Schizosaccharomyces pombe: one gene and its partners. The protein of the gene in region 1 binds, or shares a complex with, the protein of each later gene. Each region holds a gene or a part of one and is shown in the gene's direction. Other genes may lie near its edges. The genes, in order: lsm6, lsm8, lsm1 and lsm3.

What was found.
Region 2: lsm6 (region 1) and lsm8 share a complex: the UniProt entries of both Schizosaccharomyces pombe proteins name them as parts of the heptameric LSM2-LSM8 complex.
Region 3: lsm6 (region 1) and lsm1 share a complex: the UniProt entries of both Schizosaccharomyces pombe proteins name them as parts of the heptameric LSM1-LSM7 complex.
Region 4: lsm6 (region 1) and lsm3 share a complex: the UniProt entries of both Schizosaccharomyces pombe proteins name them as parts of the heptameric LSM2-LSM8 complex.

The regions. Positions count from the first base shown.
Region 1 is NC_003424.3:3,921,963-3,926,909, reverse strand, and holds lsm6 (U6 snRNP-associated protein Lsm6), read left to right. Parts: upstream 1-2,783; 5' UTR 2,784-2,830; coding exon 2,831-2,915; intron 2,916-3,024; coding exon 3,025-3,138; intron 3,139-3,188; coding exon 3,189-3,217; 3' UTR 3,218-3,324; downstream 3,325-4,947. Other genes in the region: DNA-directed RNA polymerase I complex subunit Rpa49, read left to right, coding at 1-927; sec67 (translocation subcomplex subunit Sec72), read right to left, coding at 1,579-2,157; inositol phosphorylceramide mannosyltransferase activity Imt1, read right to left, coding at 3,597-4,556. UniProt on the Schizosaccharomyces pombe protein: Component of LSm protein complexes, which are involved in RNA processing and may function in a chaperone-like manner. Component of the cytoplasmic LSM1-LSM7 complex which is involved in mRNA degradation by activating the decapping step.
Region 2 is NC_003421.2:2,275,569-2,280,048, forward strand, and holds lsm8 (U6 snRNP-associated protein Lsm8), read left to right. Parts: upstream 1-2,309; 5' UTR 2,310-2,333; coding exon 2,334-2,358; intron 2,359-2,412; coding exon 2,413-2,581; intron 2,582-2,644; coding exon 2,645-2,735; downstream 2,736-4,480. Other genes in the region: exosome subunit Csl4, read left to right, coding at 3,765-4,310. UniProt on the Schizosaccharomyces pombe protein: Component of the nuclear LSM2-LSM8 complex, which is involved in spliceosome assembly. The LSM2-LSM8 complex plays a role in the biogenesis of the spliceosomal U4/U6-U5 tri-snRNP complex by accelerating prp24-mediated annealing of U4/U6 di-snRNA.
Region 3 is NC_003423.3:1,282,534-1,287,665, reverse strand, and holds lsm1 (mRNA-decapping complex subunit Lsm1), read left to right. Parts: upstream 1-2,449; 5' UTR 2,450-2,581; coding exon 2,582-2,645; intron 2,646-2,693; coding exon 2,694-2,762; intron 2,763-2,810; coding exon 2,811-2,926; intron 2,927-3,003; coding exon 3,004-3,177; 3' UTR 3,178-3,328; downstream 3,329-5,132. Other genes in the region: AP-endonuclease Apn2, read right to left, coding at 1-260; DNA polymerase epsilon subunit Dpb4, read right to left, coding at 721-1,061, 1,100-1,218, 1,351-1,523; pig-A family phosphatidylinositol N-acetylglucosaminyltransferase subunit Gpi3, read right to left, coding at 3,341-4,140, 4,184-4,299, 4,343-4,620, 4,676-4,755, 4,816-4,912. UniProt on the Schizosaccharomyces pombe protein: Component of the cytoplasmic LSM1-LSM7 complex which is involved in mRNA degradation by activating the decapping step. The LSM1-LSM7 complex loads onto the 3'-end of single stranded RNA.
Region 4 is NC_003423.3:1,820,053-1,825,408, reverse strand, and holds lsm3 (U6 snRNP-associated protein Lsm3), read left to right. Parts: upstream 1-2,680; 5' UTR 2,681-2,735; coding exon 2,736-2,753; exon of another isoform or gene 2,754-2,794; coding exon 2,795-2,887; exon of another isoform or gene 2,888-2,894; intron 2,895-2,913; exon of another isoform or gene 2,914-2,957; coding exon 2,958-2,975; exon of another isoform or gene 2,976-3,029; coding exon 3,030-3,144; exon of another isoform or gene 3,145-3,201; intron 3,202-3,245; coding exon 3,246-3,283; 3' UTR 3,284-3,949; downstream 3,950-5,356. Other genes in the region: Nop52 family nucleolar protein, read right to left, coding at 1-125, 308-596, 653-760, 805-847; mrpl10 (mitochondrial 54S ribosomal protein uL15m), read right to left, coding at 1,709-2,473; translation elongation factor EF-Tu Tuf1, read left to right, coding at 4,000-4,134, 4,186-5,356. UniProt on the Schizosaccharomyces pombe protein: Component of LSm protein complexes, which are involved in RNA processing and may function in a chaperone-like manner. Component of the cytoplasmic LSM1-LSM7 complex which is involved in mRNA degradation by activating the decapping step.

The DNA.
Region 1 (4,947 bases):
TTGGCACTTCAGGAGAAGGACAAATTTTTGAAAAAGAAGCATGGAACTGTAAGCGGTACTGTTATGGAACAGCGTGCCAACTTGGGTTTGGCATTTGGTACAAGAAAAAGTCAAAAAGCTATTATGGAAGAGTCCGCCAATCGTGTCAAAGCTGAAACTTTGGGAGATGTCAAGGATCAATTGGTTAGTAATGTTCAAAAAGCTACTGAAGCACTTCCAACGCAAGAAGATATCGCTGCTGCTCAAGCGCAAGATCGCCCTATTCCTCCTGTCAATGTCGGTGCTGAATCCATTGAAGATGCATACAAATTGGAGGACATTATTCCCAAAGAAGAGTTTTCAGCTATTTACATTAAGCCTCTGTTAGAAAACCCTGACGAGCGCAATTGGGCCAAATTATTGCCGTACCGTCACTCCTTGTTTATTAATGAACGCTTCCAGCGATTACTTTCCATTGAGGAGGTTGACCAGAAGCGGGCGAGAATTTTGTATTACATTTCTCTTTTGCAAGCTTTTTTGTTTTCTCGTCGTTCTGTGGGCAACCGTGAAACTTTACGTAAAAAATTGGCTGATCCACCAGAGATTCTTATTGATGGGTTGATTAAACGTTTTACTCAAACCACCGGTATTGGTAGCGTCCAAGTATCATCTCGAGAAGTTGATAAAATCATATGTTATATTCTGGTATTGTGCTTAATCGTTGATAATTACTCAACTGATGTTCTTACCTTGGCAAATGACTTGAATGTCAAGACCATGAAGGCTAATGAGCTTTTTAGAACGGTGGGTTGTCGAATTATGGCTTACACCGAAACTCAAAGAATGGCTTTAGGTCTTAACAAAACTGATGCTAAAAATCATAAGCGTGCAGTATTAAAAATTCCCCTAGAGTTCCCTAAACCTCGACGTGGACGCGCTAGAAATTAGAGAAAAGTACAGCGTTGTTTATTTTCAAAAAAATGTGTGTGTGTTTTTTTAAAAAAAAAGAAGGACGGTATATATAGAAGAAACAACTACTGAAGTTCGTGATGTTCGATATCTCCACTGCTTATAATTGTTTTGGACGTCAAAGCGACATTGAGATATCCAAATAAAGTACCAACAAATTTTCAGAAACTTCTTATGGGAATACGGGATTAAAGGTGTTTTTTTATTATAGTGGAAGTACAGAAAATAATAAAATTTTGCATTGTATAATACTTTTGCTATAAGGCAAAGAAGGGTGACTTAGATGGTAACTAACTTTCAAGCAAAAAAGTTACCGTTTTACTCAATAAATCCTTTGGAAAGTTATAACATTGTTGTTTGACTATAGGGTAACAAATGACAATCGAAACTTAGATTCATGTTCAAAACCACCGTATTTATGATGTGCTAGGGGATGGTCTTTTGTATACAGTAATTGCTACAATCACCTGAGCATTAAATGAATTGGCAATAATATCAAGTTAGTATTAATTTTGAAATGGATTAATTATGTGGCCGTAAGTGTTTATGGTAATATGAAACAACACAAAGAAAGGAAATAAAAGGAGCGTGCAAATCCAATGATCATTTGAAACCATGATACAGTTGGTTTTAATCTTTTTCAGTATAACTTGCCCATAAAGCCACCAACTCGTTTCTCGTAACTGGCTCTGCCAAAATTAAACCGTCTCGTACAACCTGTTTAGCCTCTTCTATGCGATGCATTGCCTCCAAAGCCTTTGCTTTCCTATAATAACACTTTCCATAATTATTTCGAATTTTCAAAGCAGCATTTGCATCTGCTAAAGCTTCGGGGAATTGGGAAAGGGCAATCTCAGCAGCCGCCCGATTACACAACATAACACTTGCTTCTTCACGCGTAAGAATCGACGGTTCCCAAGTACAGCGATTCAAAGCGAGTTGTAATGCTAATCCATATAACTTTTTTGCCTCCTCATACTTTTTGCGTTTAAATGCCTCGTTTGCAGTTTGCTTCATCTTATTAACTTGGGTAGACAAGGCCATATTTGGCTTAGCAGGAGGATAGGGAGGTGGAATAAAAAAAGGATATTTAAACGTAGCTAATGACTTGGCGTATTCATTAACCTTTTTGCCCAACTCCAATTCCTTCCCACTCCATTTTGACACATCAACTTGAGGTGCAACCACCGATTCTTGTTTAGCAACCATCGAAGCAAAGTTTTAAAAGAAGAAGTAGTGAAGCTGCTCTTAATGTAAAGCACAAAGCTCGGATGGATTATTATGTACAAATAATTTAGAGAAGACAAGCAATGTTCAATGCAAGTAGTAAACTTGAAAGTGTTAGCAGAACGTGTCACAATACTTTAACACACATAAATACTAACTACGCAGTTTGTTATTTAATTTTAACGATGTGTAGAACTGCAATGAGCTTTATGATCTATTATATTGCAATATTGCAAAAAGCAGGTAATACAAGTAGCAACCGAGGACATATATAATATTTTATGTACGATCTATTGTTACCTATCATTAATATAGCTTTAACTAAACTGAGGAACGAGATTCAGCTGTACCTCTATTTATAATTGTTCTAAAGGGTGTTTTTAATAAAATTTATTTAGTTAGCGGATAGTTACCCATAATTATTAATAACCAGATCTCAACTGATATTCCAACATATCACATATAGTGATACGCAACGAAGTGTATATTAAAGTAGTGTAGTCTTGCACGGTATACATTTTTGCACATAATGCTATTCTTCATTATATGCAAGAGCACCCTGAACTGAGGTTACCAATGTAGTTGGTGTCTACTTCAATTTACGACTCACAGAAAACCCTTCAAAGGCTGAATTCTCTAAACCAACTGGAAGATAATGGATTCTTCTCCTAATGAGTTTTTGAATAAGGTCATCGGCAAAAAAGTTCTTATCCGGTTAAGTTCTGGTGTCGACTATAAAGGTATTTAACATGAATTGCGTCGGAGACAATGCAAGTTTGCAATTTGTTTCTATCGCTTTAACTTTTTTTCCGTTATTTAGGGTTTGTTAATACTAAACCTGTTTTTTAGGAATCCTCAGTTGTCTTGATGGTTATATGAACTTGGCCCTTGAACGCACAGAAGAATACGTTAATGGCAAGAAGACGAATGTTTATGGAGATGCATTTATTCGTGGAAACAATGGTATGGTATTTATATTAAAGTGCTTTGATTTCCTAACTACCGTCCAACAGTCTTATATGTTTCTGCTTTAGATGATTAGAGACGATTTCTAGCCCTTCAATACGATATACGATTATGGTACAAGATTGGTTAAAGTAATTTGCATAAAATACAAATTATCGTTAAAAAATACAAACACGTGTATACATAATAAGTTCTTATGCTAATGTTGAAAAGAAGAGCCAGAGTTCAATGAAGGATATATATTTGTAGATATTGATGTATCATTTAGAAGTAAATGTAATTTATAGCCCTTTAAAAAAAACCGTTTTCGTTAAACAAACACAGAGACGATGACTTTGGCATCATTTTTTTTTTTCAAGTTGTCATCAAATGAAACTATAATATACACTTCTTTTACCTTTGAATTTCTTCAATAGCCAAATCACCCATTTAGCCCATCTATAGAAACGAAGGGACTAGGGATATAGCTCCTGTATTTGTGAGTGAGAAGCCGCAATTCCACGTTTCCTTCTCCGTTTAAAGACAACTCTTAGACATAAGAAAAGGATAGCGAACGCAGCCAAAAAAGCAAAAAATAAGACAGATTTTGAATTTCGGTCTATCCAAATAAATACTTTAGCATCAGTGCCATGCCAGCTATCACCAGTAACATGTGAAAAAAATGAATTAGGTCCGTTTCCATAAAGTAAAGCAGGTAAGACGCGCACTGGTTCATGCGGCGTAAGTAAGTATTTACAAAATTGATAAGATAGGAATAAAGGTCCTGCACTGAGAAACACCGTGGGATATTTAGTGAAATAACGGTGGTTAAACTTTGACAAGTTATGTATCGCCTGATACAGAAATGGATGCTTTGGTGTAGCAGCAAACCAATCATTGCTATACCCAATGGGTTCCGTCGAAGGCAATATAAAAGTAGCTTTGCTTAGAAGAGGATCCATGGGTTTTTTACACCCAATATCCAAATCCATGTATACGCCGCCGTAATGATAGAGAATAAAGTAACGTGCAGCATCAAATTTCTGGATATTATAAGGATAGCTGTGGAAAACAGGCATAAACCAGGAATAATTTTCGTTCATAAAAGACATAATTTTTTCATCTGTCCATAAAATGAACTGCCAGCCGTTTTCATCAGGATGTTGGCGCCTGCAAGAGTTAACAGTATTAGACCATCTCTCTGGAATATTTTCATCCTTCCAAAGCTGGTGAATCACTCTTGGTATTTTTTCCATTTCTCCTGGAGCACTAGTATCATCTGATACATCCGATAAACTTAAGGTAAAAGGTTCAGTCGCTTTCCCTGGTACCATAAATCTCAATGTGTTATAAAGGGAATAGCCCCAGAGGATCAACAAAATAACGCCGCATATAGGTATTCCCTTTAAGAGAAGCTTGCGACATTTCCTTCCCATGATTGCAAACAGATGTAATTCACCTCGGCAGCAAAACGATAAAACAAAAGAAGCGAAAAAACAAGAAAGGTGATATGGTGAGCAAAATTCACTTGTTCTAATAAGAAAACCGTTGAAAAATAAAATGAATATTTAATTTGTTCACGATGTGCGCATAAAAAACAAATAACCAGAATATATGCAGTGATAGTGTTGAAAAGTGTTTCAGTAGAACAGAAAACCCAATATTAATAAATTGAAGGTTTAATAGAATTAGAAGCTCAGAATAGGTTGAAAAGAATAAATACGTTATGGGGATGGCTTAGAATCGCTGCATATTCAAACTTGACAAGTAACGAAAAGAATAAATTAAAGCCCGCGAGCACTTCAAATGCACAGATAAATAAAAGAT
Region 2 (4,480 bases), on another chromosome or scaffold:
GTACATCATTTAATAAGTATGCAAAATAACCATCATTCATAATTGGAGTATTAGTAAAAGTTTGTCTTAAATGAGAGCGCTAAAAAAAATTAAAAATAAAAATGCTTTGATAATTTAGTCTTTAATTTTCTATACTTTATAAGCCATTGATTAATTTCTTAATTATCTTTGGATTTTAAATTCGTAATAATAAGATCTCAAATTCAAATACTTCATAAACCCATTTACAAATATGTTAGATTAATAACAAATTCAATTTTAAGCTAACAATAGAGCTTATGAATCATAATATTTATTCCGATAACCCTGAAGACACAATTTCGAGTTTTATGAAGTGTCTGAGAAGCCAGTTGATTGCTATTCTGTTCATACAGAAAATTTCGTGATTCATAGCAAGAGGAAAGAAAAAATCTCAAATTTTTTTTATTTTTTTTTAATTAATATTATTACATATTTAGTTGATCGATCAAGAAATCGTTGAGCGAAAGTATTAAATTCATATATTCTAAAACAATACACTGTGGTTTAATTTTATAAATTTAAAATAACTGATCGTTACGAGATCTATTAGAATTTTAAGTCTTCTTATTATTGATATCTACACCTTTTTTGTTTTGAAAATATATAAATCTTATTTTTTTTCTTTCATTCTAATCAACATCCTTTTTTTTTTTTTGAAATTGTTTTAAATCAAATGTGTATTTCATTATATTGTGACTGATAAAAATATGTTTGCGAAAGCAACATTTGAACAGATTGAGTAAATAGGCTATGATATAGTAAATCTTTAAATTTAATTTAATTCTCAATACCAAATAAATATTTCTTCAAAAAGGGTTACAAATAAATTAGCTATACTGTGGAGTATATGATATATCGATCCCCCTGATGTAACAAATATAACATATAACAATATGTGTTTAAGTATGAGTATATTCAGAATACATTGGAAATAACGAAAATCCAAATGAAACATTAAGCATAAATTTCTGATTTCTAACTTGCCCTTTTTATTTTATTTTATTCATCATAGTTGTCTACTATTCCAACACAAGTTATGATGTTAATGAGTTGCTAGAATGTTTATTTGCGAGACAGTAGTATAAATATCCTTTCGTAGCTGCTGTACGTTATAACGAACAACTTAACTTTCTTAAATTTTTCTCAATAAATACTTAAATTTACATTGAAGAATATAGCTGAAAATAAATAAACTCACGATGGCAATTTCTCAGCCTCTTTAAGTAGATTTGCTTTTATAGTCACTATGATCTACTGGTTTAGTTCTGTGTGCTGCTTCGTCAAAGTTGTAAGTCTTCGCTTAATTATTAGCGAAACTTTATTTTATCAGATAGGGATAATATCCAAGAAAATTGTACTACCAAGCTGCTTTGAGAAGATAATACAAGTACTGAGATGAGTGTAAAAAAGTGCCAAGGAAAACGAGCTGCGCCCTTTAACTTCATCTGTCTATATTCTAAATGCCACCTTTAAAACAAAAATCTAACTTGTCTTATAATGTAAAAACCCTAAAGCTTCGCACTTATGGTGACACATTTAGTACAAATTCTTTCTATTCCATACGTTCTTTGCTGAATAAAGAGCGAAGACCGTCCCCTTTATATTCGAGCCGTCATTAATTTTTCATTCAAAAACTAAGATAGTAAGGCACATCGATAACAATCTAAAGTTGTGAAAAAATTCTTATAAAACGGAATTCTTAAATACTTATTTCTTCCAAATTATTTAAGCAAACCTTCAAAAGAAGAATTATCCTTCAATGATTTAAACTCAACAACTATCAAATGAAGTAATTCAAGAATATAACTGTAGTCAAATATATACATCTATATTCCCCACGTCCATAAGATTTGTATATTTGTTTACAACGGGTATTTTTAGTTAGAAGAACGGTTGCTTGTAATGATGAGGAAGGATTCGTGAGCCGGATATAGCTGGAATAATGTTCAATACCTTTTCCTTTAATAGATCTATTTTACAAAATAAATTTCGTTGATTAATAAAACAAAAGATCATTTAAAAATCGTGCGCTTCACAAATTACTTTAATTTTCTTTTGACACAAGATTGTGTTCCTTTCCAAACTAAAAATATAATTGGGTTACTTCTTATATTGATAGCAAAGTTAGCTTCAAAATTTTAAGACAAAAAGGTGTTTTCAATTTGATTAGTTTATTAAAATTCTTGATTTTTTTGTTTTTGCTGTATGTTTTATAAAAAGTATCATGTCACTTGAAATACATGCTGTAAGACTACCTACTTTTGTTTAGCACTACCATACTGTAATACAACTAATACTTAAATCACTTTATCATGAGTCTTGCTGATTTTATGGAACGTAAGTGTCAAATTTTCAATAGAGAATGAAGTGACTAATATAGATGTTCGTTAGAAAGGGTTCAAGTCATTACAAACGATGGTCGCGTTGTGCTAGGTTCCCTGAAGGGATTCGATCACACGACCAATCTTATACTTTCAGACTCATTTGAAAGAATTATTAGCATGGATCAAGACATGGAAACAATTCCTTTAGGCGTTTATTTATTACGTGGAGAAAATGTGTAAGTGGACGCAGAGCCTTGTACTGGCGGTACGTAAATCAATAATCTAATAGTTATTTTTAGAGCAATGGTTGGATTAGTGAATGAGGAATTAGATTCAGAAATAGAATGGACCAAAATTCGAGGTGAAGCAATACCTGACGTTGTGCATTAATACAAAAACCGGACGTTAAACTTCAAATGAGAACAAACGTTTAAGGCTACATAGGATTTGGGTTAATGATTTTTTTGTTATATTTCCTCTTTGTGCGGGCGAATCCTTTGCAAATTTTGTTAAGCTTTCCACGATATATTCATACCTTGCAGCATGTCTTTTATCAGGAAGCTATTAGCTCGTAGAAAGAAGTGAAAATTCTTTCTTTATTTTTTTAAAAAAATATGACTGAGGTTGTAGATTAATTCTGATGACAAAGAGTTGACACTTGAACGAAAATACTTAAAAAAATGGTTTAAAATACCGAGTTCGAGGACATCGGTTCTTTCAGAATTTAAAAAATTCTTGGTTTCTTGTTAAATTTGTGGATCACAAACTCATTTTTCTTCTTATTTTGTGGGTTTCATCTTTCTTAAATGATTCTTGGGAACGTTAACATACCTTTGTTTCCTTAATTTGATTTATGCACTTTGATTTTGAAATTTGTGGTCAACTTGTTTAAAGACTTTATATTTATCATTGATTTTTGTTATTATATGGAAAAAAACATCACAATTTATATCATTTACTGTGCATAACATTCTTCATTTTTGCTGTCACGCTTAATGTTTACACTGGAAAATTTCTCTACCTTGAGAAATATTTCAGCATCATGGTCCAATTTACAAAGATCATTTGAGTTAAACAAAAAAAATGATTTATTATATTTGCTGCTCATATTTTTTTTTTAGTGATTTTTTATTTTGGCATCGTTTTGTGAACTTACTTTCCAAGCTTTGGGATTATCAAGAAAAAATTTTTGTTGAAAGAAGAGCAGAAAAACTGTTTGATAATTAAATGCCTTTGCAATTTCATTTTCTCAATTTAGCAAAATAAACTGAAATTTCTGCAGCAGTGACTTTAGGTTACATTGTAACCTACAGTTTACAACGACCTTTGTGCTTACAGCAACTTTTTTTCAATTAATTTTTTACAGCCATACAAAACGGACTTGATTCCTTTATTTTTAGTTTATTAAAGCCGTTAAATATGAATTTGGTTCTCCCTGGACAGGTGGTCGCGAGAGGGGCTCCTAACGGTGAAGGAACGGTAAAGAGAGGAGATTATATTATTTCCACACGAACTGGCATCTTTGATCCAGAGAAAAATTCTGTAACGTACCCAAGAAAAGTTGAAGAGACAGCCGTTTTACCTAATGTCGGATCTATTGTTTTAGCTCGCGTCAGCAGGATCAATGCTCGTCAAGCAACTGTAAACATCTCAGTCGTTGACGATGTCTGCACCAAAGATGAATTTCAAGGGGTAATACATGTGCAGGATATTAGAGCTACTGAGAAAAATAAAGTCAAAGTGCAAAATTCATTCCGACCGGGTGATATTGTCAGAGCACTTGTAATTTCACTTGGAGACGGCTCTTCGTACTTTTTAACAACAGCTCGAAATGATCTTGGTGTGATTTTTGCTCAGTCTAGTGAAACAGGAGAGCAAATGTTTCCGGTGGATTATCAGCATATGCAAACAAAATCAGGATATACGGAAATGCGTAAATGTGCTAAACCTATATTAGACGAATAAAATGAGGGGATAAAATTGCTTTGTTTTGATATAACCTGATAGTTTTTTTTCCCTCTCGGTTCGTTCTTTCCTAACAAAAAAAAAATTCTGAAATTGTTAGAGATTTTATGATACGAATATACGGAACACGGATAAAAATAATATTGAATATAGAAATATTGGAAGTTCAT
Region 3 (5,132 bases), on another chromosome or scaffold:
GGAATAGCAACATCTTTTTTTACATAAAATCCAACCCCACTATAGCCTTTTCTGATCTTAGGAAATGTAAAATAACTGTCGAATCCCTCAACAACTGCATATTGTTGAGGAAAGCTGTCTTTCTGCATTTTCAATTCTTGAACACATATTACATCAGCCTGTAACTCTTGAAATATCTCTTTGTAGGAATTTTTTTTATTCCATGGAAAATAATTGAATGGATTCTGTATACCGTTCACATTCCAACTTAGAATTCGCATTCTTATAATTTTTACGTAGAGAAAGTGTGCGAAGGTAAAGGCGACAGACTTTTGAATTTACAATTGTTGACATAAGTTAATCTGATGGAAAATAAAATGCATTTGTTTAATTCGAGAATGAACTTTTTCTTTTCTTTTCGACCTTCTCCCTATTGAATGTTGATTTTCAAAAAAATTCTAGATTGACTAATATTGAGTTACAACTGTAAACAATCTAATGATTCTTTCTAAATATATGTCATTAAACGAGTATACATGTTGTGCTAGAAAGACATTATCTCAAACTGCTGTTTAAAAAAGCTATGTTTGGATACAAGGATGTAAATTGGGGTATTAACAGGTATCCAAAAAATCCATTAAAAAATAAAGAAGGTTTAGTTTTTCGTGTAAAAAAATATGATTAGCTCTCCATGTAAGTTAGGACTATTGACAATCTTCATATACATTTAACCAACAGTAATTACGAAGAATCATTAAGTTGAAGAGATTCTTCTGAGTCGGATTCAGAGCTATCTTCAATTGGGTTTCCCGTAGCATCTGTAAGATGAATGGTTTCTATTTGAGGAGATTCTGCGTTTGCGTCTAATGTATCATTCACTTCTTCGAGGTCCTCCACATCATCAATATTTTGCTCAACTTCATTTTGTGCTATATCCTCCGCAATTCGTTCTTCTTCTAATTCGTCTTTTTCTTCATCTAGAGGAGTAGTGTCATGCGCGTCTATTTTGGCTTTCTTTCTGTTATCAACATCTGATACGTTAGGGAGTTTCAATCGTTTTTCTTTCAAGGCAAGCTCATATGCTTTAATAGTTAGAAGAAGTACAGAGTAAGAAACATACCTTCGAGATGTTTTTTTAACGTTTTAGAGAATTCTGGATACTCAATTTCATCGAGCGCATTCAAAACGTCTTGAGGCATAAGAATTTTTCTGTTATTATTCGTAGCAATTTCCCCAGAACTAAGTAACGTTAGTCTTTATTCATTCATATACAAAGTGTTTCCAGAAGAAAATAAAATTGGCAATTATATAATAAATTCTTTCATCATACAAGCCCTTCAATATGGTTATATAGTTATATAGATTACATACGCGGATGTTAGAAAACTAACAAAAAGAGTTGCTGAATTGATCATAGCCTTGAGAGCTTCTTTTTGTACAAGACTCTTTTCAGGTAAGACACCTTTGACTAATCGCATAATGATCGATCGAGGAAGCGCCAGATCATCCAATTCGGAAGTTTCTTTCGATTTATCTTGATTCATATTGATTTTCCAGCCGCTAGATCTTTTACAAACGCTGTATACAAGTCTTTTATAAATCCAATCCAAATATCATCCTATGGTCACCAAACGATAATCACAGAGAAAGGCGGTTGCTTCTTTTTAGCTAATTAATGTATAATAAATTCACTGAGTCGCCTATTTCTGTCAATTTTCACTAAACACTATCTGTGCGTTATGAGCAGAATCCGAGAGAGCCTTAGAGTTGAAACATTTGTAGAAATGCTATCAAATTTCTTAAAACTAAATAGTTGTACTGTTTTGTTTATATTAAATGAGTAAAAAAAAAAGTTTTTTAGCGTTGTTAGAAATAAATAAAGCTTTTTGATAACCATACAATACATTATTAAAGGCTCGATTTTTGATTGTAATTAATAGATAAAAACAACTAAATTTATTATCTTTTTTCAGAACACTCCAAAAACGTTCAATGAACGTTCTAAGAGAATAATAGGCAATCTCTTCTCAGTCGAAATAGCTCAGAATAGGGATATTACAAATGGGATTGGCAACATTTTTACAAGTTCGATTTTGGAATTGATAAAAATCATCAAATTATTTATTTCTGTTCTTCGCAAAATGTTGAGCCTTTCAATGAACTAATCCGCTTATGATGCTGAAAAATTGTTAGGTAGCTTGAGTATAATTAGATTCCCTTTTTACAATCTGTGATCAAAAATATACATGTTTTTGTTCTTTAATTTTTGTGAAGACCGACTTCCCTTTATAACTAGAAAGTCAGATTACAACATTCAATGATGGGCAAGTTTAGAAATGGAAAAACCAAATAATTTAATTTACAATTAGCAAAAAAACATAACAAACGAATAACATTTAAACTTCAGAAGCACTTTTAGGGTTAAACAGGGAGAATTTAGGATTCCAGATTTGACGACCTCAGAGCACTTGCTTCTAACCATCTCCTCGAACTCGTTTTTTAAGGAAAACACTCAAATAAAGTCATCAGGCGTTTATAAAAGAAATAGAAAGTTAAATCTAAATTAAATTATTAGTTTATGCTACATCCAAATAATAGCTGAATGAATCAAGCTACACAGATTATCCCATTCACAACTTCTGGGTCACTTGTTGACTACGTAGACAGTACGGTGTTTTTTCCAATGTTTTCCTTGATCTAACTTTACCTTTTAGGAAAAGTGATTGTTGTTTTACGAGATGGAAAAAAACTGATTGGAATTTTAAGGTCCTTTGATCAATTTGGTATGGTTTGCGTGAATAGGCGCATAAGTGAGTTTACTAACTGTGTAGCAAATTTAATGTTGCAATACACGATTGAGAGGATCTATGTGGATGATATGTACGGGGACATAGACAGAGGTGTGTATATTGTTCGGGGCGAGAACGTCGTGCTTTTAGGTGAATTGGTAAGTTTCGTTTGTAACATAAAATATTCGAGCATCTTTATAAATTTCTTTGAACGTGGGCTAAATATTTCGAAAAGGATTTGGATAAGGAGTATGATGCAGTCAAACAATTGCGACGTATGCCTGCTGAAGAACTGTATCCTTTGGCGAAGCTTCATGAAGAAGAGAAGAAGAAAAATATACGTGAGAAGGGCAAGTACCTTCATTCTGTAGGCTTTAGTGTTGACGGCGGACATGATGATTTGTATTAGACAACGGTTGAACAAATTTATCACAATATTGCTATACCGTTTGTTTACAGTCACGATAGAAAGCTATCTCGACCGCTGTTTATTCCCCTTTTAAATGGATGTAATGTAATTTTTAAGACATGAATCGTCATAATCCCATTACCGTTCGTTCAAAGTTTAGTAATCATTGTGCATCTTTTAAACATGCAGTTTTTATCTTTGTCTTTTTTTTGGGGTCCGTTAATACCAGAGATTCGTCAAAGTTCTGCTTAGAAATTTTGAAAGTAGAGGATACGCGGTCAACCGCTGGGTCAATATCAGATGCTGGCCAAATCCATTCTAGTAAAACCATTACAAGATAATCTATAGCTATGAGTAAACAAAATAGCTTACCAGCCCATTGCCCACATCCGTAATAAAGCTTTAGACGGTCTATTAGTCTAAGATTATTCTCTGAACATATACTGTCGTAAACCTTTTCTGTCCTTTCCGCGACATCTATCCACGAGTACATTTGCTTAACCTCCTCATGGAAAGTTTCGGTTTTGATTTTATGGTCAAGATAATCAGTAATAACACTCGAAAGTGTATCAGCTAAATCATCCTCTTCAGGACGGGCGAATCGTGTCATGTGGGAAGGCAAGACTTCAGGAACACCTCCCACTTTTGTAGAAATCACATAAAGACCACAGCTTGCGGCTTCAACTAAAACAGTGCCGAAAGCTTCGGTCAAACTAGGATGTAAATAAATATGACCCCTGACCATCACATCACGAACTTGATCATGTCTTACAGAACCAAGCATTTCAACGCGATCCTGTAACATATACTTTTCTCGCATTTGTTCCAAATCGATTGACTTGGGTCCGTCGCCAGCAATAACAAATCGTACTTTAGGGTGTTGCGCACAAATTCTGGGTATAACTGCGATTAAAAGATCAATGCCTTTGTTATAGTAAAGCCTTGAGATTACTACTATGGTTACTAAAAATGTTAGATTTTTTCCTTAATAAACGAAAAAACTCACAGAAATCTTTTGAAGCTTTAGATGGGTCTGGCTGAAAGTTTTCCGCTACTAAGGCATTGGGAATCACGGATACTCTTTTTGGATTTAGAACTGCACGAAGCACCGTATTTTCGCGGCTTCTTAGTTAATAATTTAAATACTTGCTCATGAGATACTTACCAAGTGTGAGAGACACAAATAACATGATTTACATCGCTCATCGTAAATTTTAATAACTTATTTGTAACGATGCTGCCAGCATCTGCAAAACCAAACAAAGAGTGGTCGGTAAAACAAGTTTTCAAGCCCATTGTACGAGCATGCAGAATAGCATCATGGCATAGAAAGGATAAACTGCCATGACCGTGGACTATTTCGATATTTTCTCTAATGACTATATTGCGGAAAATTGGAAAAAAGGAAAAAAAGGAAGGAAATGTTGTTTCACGATACACAGTCTGCATTGTTTAGTTTCAACGCTATGCGCGATCAAAATTTCAATTAAAAACTTACATGTAACGGCACGTAGTAAACGGTTAGCCCATTAGTTAAGTATCTGACGCCAACTCGATCCTTATAAGCATGTGTGATAACTAATATAATGCATGTTAGAGCATGTACAAGTTGACATTATCATAAGGCTAAACGCATACCAATTACTTTATGCCCTAAATCAATCAATCTTTGAGAAAGCTGAAAAATATGGCTTTCAATCCCCCCAGGTTGAGGAAAGAAGAAGTCTGATACCATTCTAAGCATACAAAGTTAGCAATCTATTGAACGTTGGGATTTCAATCTAAGAGAAAAGGTGATTTATAGAAGCTTATTGAAGCCAGTATATTATCATAAGAATGTTAAAAAATAAAAAATGCTATAGGCTTCATTTTGTACTAAGAAAATCTCCTTAACAAACAATATTGATTGTGAAAGTTGCATTTCAAAACATACGCGACCCTGTATCCCATTTTAG
Region 4 (5,356 bases), on another chromosome or scaffold:
TAGAATCAAAAGGAAGATACCAGTCCGCTTTTGGTACATCTTCTGGGTAGACTTTTCTTAATTCCTCAGTCCATATATCAGCTAAATGGAATAAAATCCCATTTGGAAAAGCAAGATTTTCGGTACTAAAAGCAGTTAGTAGTCTGTCCAAATAAACAGAAAAATGATAAAAATTAAGAAATAGCTATTCAACAAGTTTGATGTAAGCAGGAAGTAAAAGCGTTGCAAAACTTTTCTAAAAGTCTCCAACGCAAAAGCAATCTATATAATAAACAAATTCCCACACGCGGGAACGAAAACAACTTACTTAAAAGGACCATCCATCCACATCTGATTATATTCAGCCACTACTTTGTCCAGCAAAGCAGTTTTACTTCTTGTTTGAATATCCCGAAACGCAGCAGCACAAAATCTACGCATTAACAAGTAAAATTTGTCTGTTCGTAAAATATCAATTCCCGTCCATTCACGACCCATAGTTTCCCAAAAAGTAGATTGAAATAATATTCTATTGTCTATCCAGACAATTGGAACCAACGCGGCTAAATTATCTGAGAGTTTCTGTTGGTATAAGGGTTTATCAGCCATCCACATGCCTGCATATTAAAAAACAATTAGATGATTTACATTCATAACCCAAAAAAATTCATACAGTAAAATAAGCCCTTCCAAAGCTTGAGAAAGTCTAACCTTTCAAATTTTTTCTTTTGGCTTAAAAACCGCTGCAACGATTCAAGAGCCTTATCACGAGTTTTTCGATCTTACAGTGTTAGTACATTAATCATTTATATGTAAGAAATTTACCATTAGCTGCAAGTTTCTTAATAAACGGCGACGGAGCCGACATTGTTGGTTTATTGACAAAGTGTTGAAGCAGTTCTTAGCATCGTTCCTTCCATACTGCGTTTTAGTGCACTAATTGGAGAGTTGATAAATGTCCCTTTCTAATATATGAAATAAGGAGTTTCCCAGTCAATATGTATTATTTTTTTTAGAATTGACCGTTTATGTAGATTAATTGATCATAAGGTTAATGTACTACTATGGTTCGCTTACACTTCTATTACAAATGCCGGTTTTCTTAGTCATTCTTATATATAAGTCTTTAACCGTTCCATTGATCAACAAATGTTCTTTTTCTTCTTCCTTGCATGCCTTTGAAAAGGAGATCCTTTGAAAGATCTTTTCCTGTTGGATAGACAATCGGAGGATGAAAAAATTTTAAGAAAGCTTTAAACAAAAAAAGGCAAAAGATAATAATTTAACAAACAGTCGGCAGGGGTTCTTGATTATACAAAAAAAGTGCATGACTGCGAATGCTCAAATCTACTAATGAAGCAAATGAATAAATGTGAGAAAGGGTTTATCTGACAGAGAATGAACTGACTACAACAAGGGGATTTGGGGGATAAAGAAGGAAGCTATATTTTCGAATGAGAAAGGTATTCAAAATATTACTAATGGGTATTGAACTGTAAGCGAAAAAGTCAGTAGAGAGCTCAAACACCGAAATTGGAAACGTAATTATACAAATGTACTAAGAAAAGGATGCAGATATTTCCTTACAAAACTCAACATGTAACCCATCCAAGAAAGTAAAGGAGGCTGCACGGAATCATCAATAGACATAACAAAGTTTTAAGGACATATTAGGAAAGCGGGATTTTTGATGAACATATATCAAGTTCTGATGTAATATGGGAACTACTTATTTATCTTTAACAATCGGTTCGTAGGGGAATCGTTGGTCGCCATAATATAGCTCTCGAATATTTTTAACGTTGGCAAGATACCCTGCAAAATGTGGATTTGTGTAGTAGCGTATGTCTTTCTTTGAAACTGGAAGGGGAGGGCGAGGAGGTGTACGAAAACTTGAAGGATGCAAATGGGCACGTAGCGCCAACGGGCTGAAATATACTGTTGTTATACTGCCGCCTGCATTTTTGATTTGTTGTATAGCTTGAACTGTAGCCTTAGAAACTTCTATGGAAATTGCTGTTTTAAGGAGTCCAGGTTCGTCAGCAGTAAGTTCAACTCCATGTTTAATACCTCTACAGCATCTACTATCGAGGAGGTCTTTCATAGTAATTGTCTTGCTAGCATCCAATCTACCACGATCAATCCATTCCTGAACTCTCCCTAACCCCAGACGCAACGGTTTCTTCAAATGTCCCGTACTGTGACCAACTTTAGGAAATAATTTGGTGATAGGAGTTTGACCACCTTCAAAACCAGGTTTAATTCTCCGTCCACGCCTTTGACCAGATCCTTTATGACCACGTCCAGAGGTTTTTCCTAAACCGCTCGCAGGGCCTCTACCCACTCGCTTCTTTGACTGATAATTTGCACTGTTGTTTAAATCATTCAACATACTGATGCCGCGGAAACTAGCACCAAATCTTGGATAACCAGAGGATCTCAAAAAACCATGAAATGAAGAACTGCGACAAACCCGAGATAAAATATTAAACATTTTCCAATTCAAAAAACGGGTTTCGTCGAGTTTAGATGGTAATAAGTCCAAGGCTGCTGTTTACTATTACAAAAGATTCGGACACACACGAATACGTAAAATTCTATAGCGTCTCATAAAAATATCTTTATTACTATATTCAGCATCGCTGCACTGCGCAATTCGAATTTGTTTCCTCCTTTATTTCTTCCTGACATATGCCAGTGCATAATTGCAGCAACAGCGATCTTGCTTGGTAGATATAATAACCCTTTACTTTATAATGGAATCGGCACAGGCAGTAAGATTTATCAACAGTAACTCGGTAACTAATGTTTGTAGGTCGCGGAACCTCTTGATTTGGTGAGGCTTTCTTTGGATGAAATCGTTTATGTAAAATTACGGGGAGATAGAGAATTAAATGGCCGTCTTCATGTATGAAATTTTTTTAACGTTTCTTGAATATTTTTCTTATTCTGAATTGGTTATACTAACTCGATTGTAGGCCTATGATGAACATTTGGTATGAATCATATTCATAACTCGCATTTGGATGGATTACTTACACGTATTTTAGAATATGGTACTAGGAGATGCTGAAGAAATTGTAACTATTTTTGATGATGAAGAGACCGATAAGGACAAGGCCTTAAAAACGATTCGCAAACATTATGAGATGCTCTTTGTTCGTGGTACGTAGATTCTAAATATTACGCTCGAAAAGTTTGACCATGATTAAGCTTTCCTTTTCGAAACTGTTTTTCCTTTTTCGCCAAATGCTAATGAACTTTAGGTGATTCGGTTATTTTGATTGCTCCACCTCGTAATTAAAGGAACGAATAAAATTACTATACAAAGCTATCTACATATTTTTATCTCATTCTTTTGTTTAAAATTTTTCGCTTTAGAGGTGCTTCTTCGTACAATAGTAACGACTTTTGATTTGAGTATTCTATATTACAGAAAAGTTTGATTTTCCTTTATTCCGTTGGATGGATAGTTTTATCTTTCTTTAGTCACGCACCACTTCTTGTTATTCCTTACATCCTTTTACTTAATAAAAGCAAAAGACTCTTCGAAGTTAACCAACATTCACGAGACGCTGAGCTTTGTCATTGAGACTTTTCATTAATGGTTTTATTCTTTGTACTTGACAGGATAGTAAGCGATTTTTGCTTGCATGGTGGTTGCTCTTGCGATCTAGCAAAATCAGATTGACATTCCTTTAGAGATCAGAGACATAATACCATTCATTGTGCAAATAAAAAAAAACTATCAATTGCTTTCGATTTGGCGGTGTTGTTCACTAGTTCATCTAGTATTTTTTTATTATTAACAAGCGTATCATCATATATAGGCGTAGCGGTAAAATAGAACAAAATAAAATAAATTCTACAAATATTGATTGTATCCAAACACCCAGGACCATTTATTTCATGAAATGCTCGTGTCAATAGTATTCTCATAACGATGCGCACCGCTGAGACTTATTTCAAGGACAACACGAGCGCCAGAGACCTCTCCTCTGCCTACACGCTCCCTTCGTTATGAATTCAGCTAAAGCTACCTCTCTCCTCTTTCAAGGCTTTAGAAAAAATTGCTTGCGATTGAACCGCATTTCTTTCGCTTCAGGTTTGATTAACCGGTTCACCGTCCCAGCTCGAACTTATGCTGACGAAAAGGTATTTTTTTTTCATTCTTCATCTTTTTGATTACTTGTTAACTTTTTTAAGGTGTTCGTTAGAAAAAAGCCGCATGTCAATATTGGTACTATTGGTCATGTTGACCACGGTAAAACGACGTTGACGGCTGCTATTACTAAATGCCTTTCTGATCTTGGTCAAGCTAGTTTTATGGATTATAGTCAAATTGACAAGGCCCCCGAGGAAAAGGCACGTGGTATTACCATTTCATCTGCCCATGTTGAATACGAAACTGCTAATCGTCACTATGCCCATGTGGATTGTCCTGGTCACGCCGATTACATTAAGAATATGATTACTGGTGCTGCTACAATGGATGGCGCTATCATTGTTGTTTCTGCTACCGATGGTCAAATGCCTCAAACTCGTGAACATTTGCTTCTGGCTCGTCAAGTCGGTGTAAAGCAAATTGTTGTATACATCAATAAAGTCGATATGGTCGAGCCTGATATGATCGAGCTTGTCGAAATGGAAATGCGTGAGCTACTCTCCGAATACGGATTTGATGGTGACAATACTCCAATTGTTAGCGGCAGTGCTTTATGTGCCTTAGAGGGTCGTGAGCCTGAGATTGGTCTCAATAGTATTACTAAATTGATGGAAGCTGTTGATAGTTATATTACTCTTCCTGAAAGAAAAACGGATGTCCCTTTCTTGATGGCCATCGAGGACGTTTTTTCAATTTCAGGTCGCGGAACTGTAGTCACTGGCCGTGTCGAGCGCGGTACTTTAAAGAAGGGTGCTGAAATCGAAATCGTCGGTTATGGTAGCCATTTAAAGACTACCGTTACTGGAATTGAAATGTTCAAAAAGCAGCTTGATGCCGCCGTTGCCGGTGACAATTGTGGCCTTTTACTTCGTTCTATCAAGCGAGAGCAATTAAAACGTGGAATGATTGTCGCTCAACCAGGAACCGTTGCTCCTCATCAGAAATTCAAGGCATCATTCTATATTTTGACAAAAGAGGAAGGAGGTCGTCGTACCGGTTTCGTTGACAAGTATCGTCCCCAACTGTACAGTCGTACTTCCGACGTTACTGTCGAACTTACCCACCCTGATCCTAACGACTCAGACAAAATGGTTATGCCTGGAGACAATGTCGAGATGATCTGTACGCTTATTCACCCCATTGTCATCGAAAAAGGACAACGCTTCACAGTTCGTGAGGGTGGAAGCACTGTAGGCACAGCTTTGGTTACTG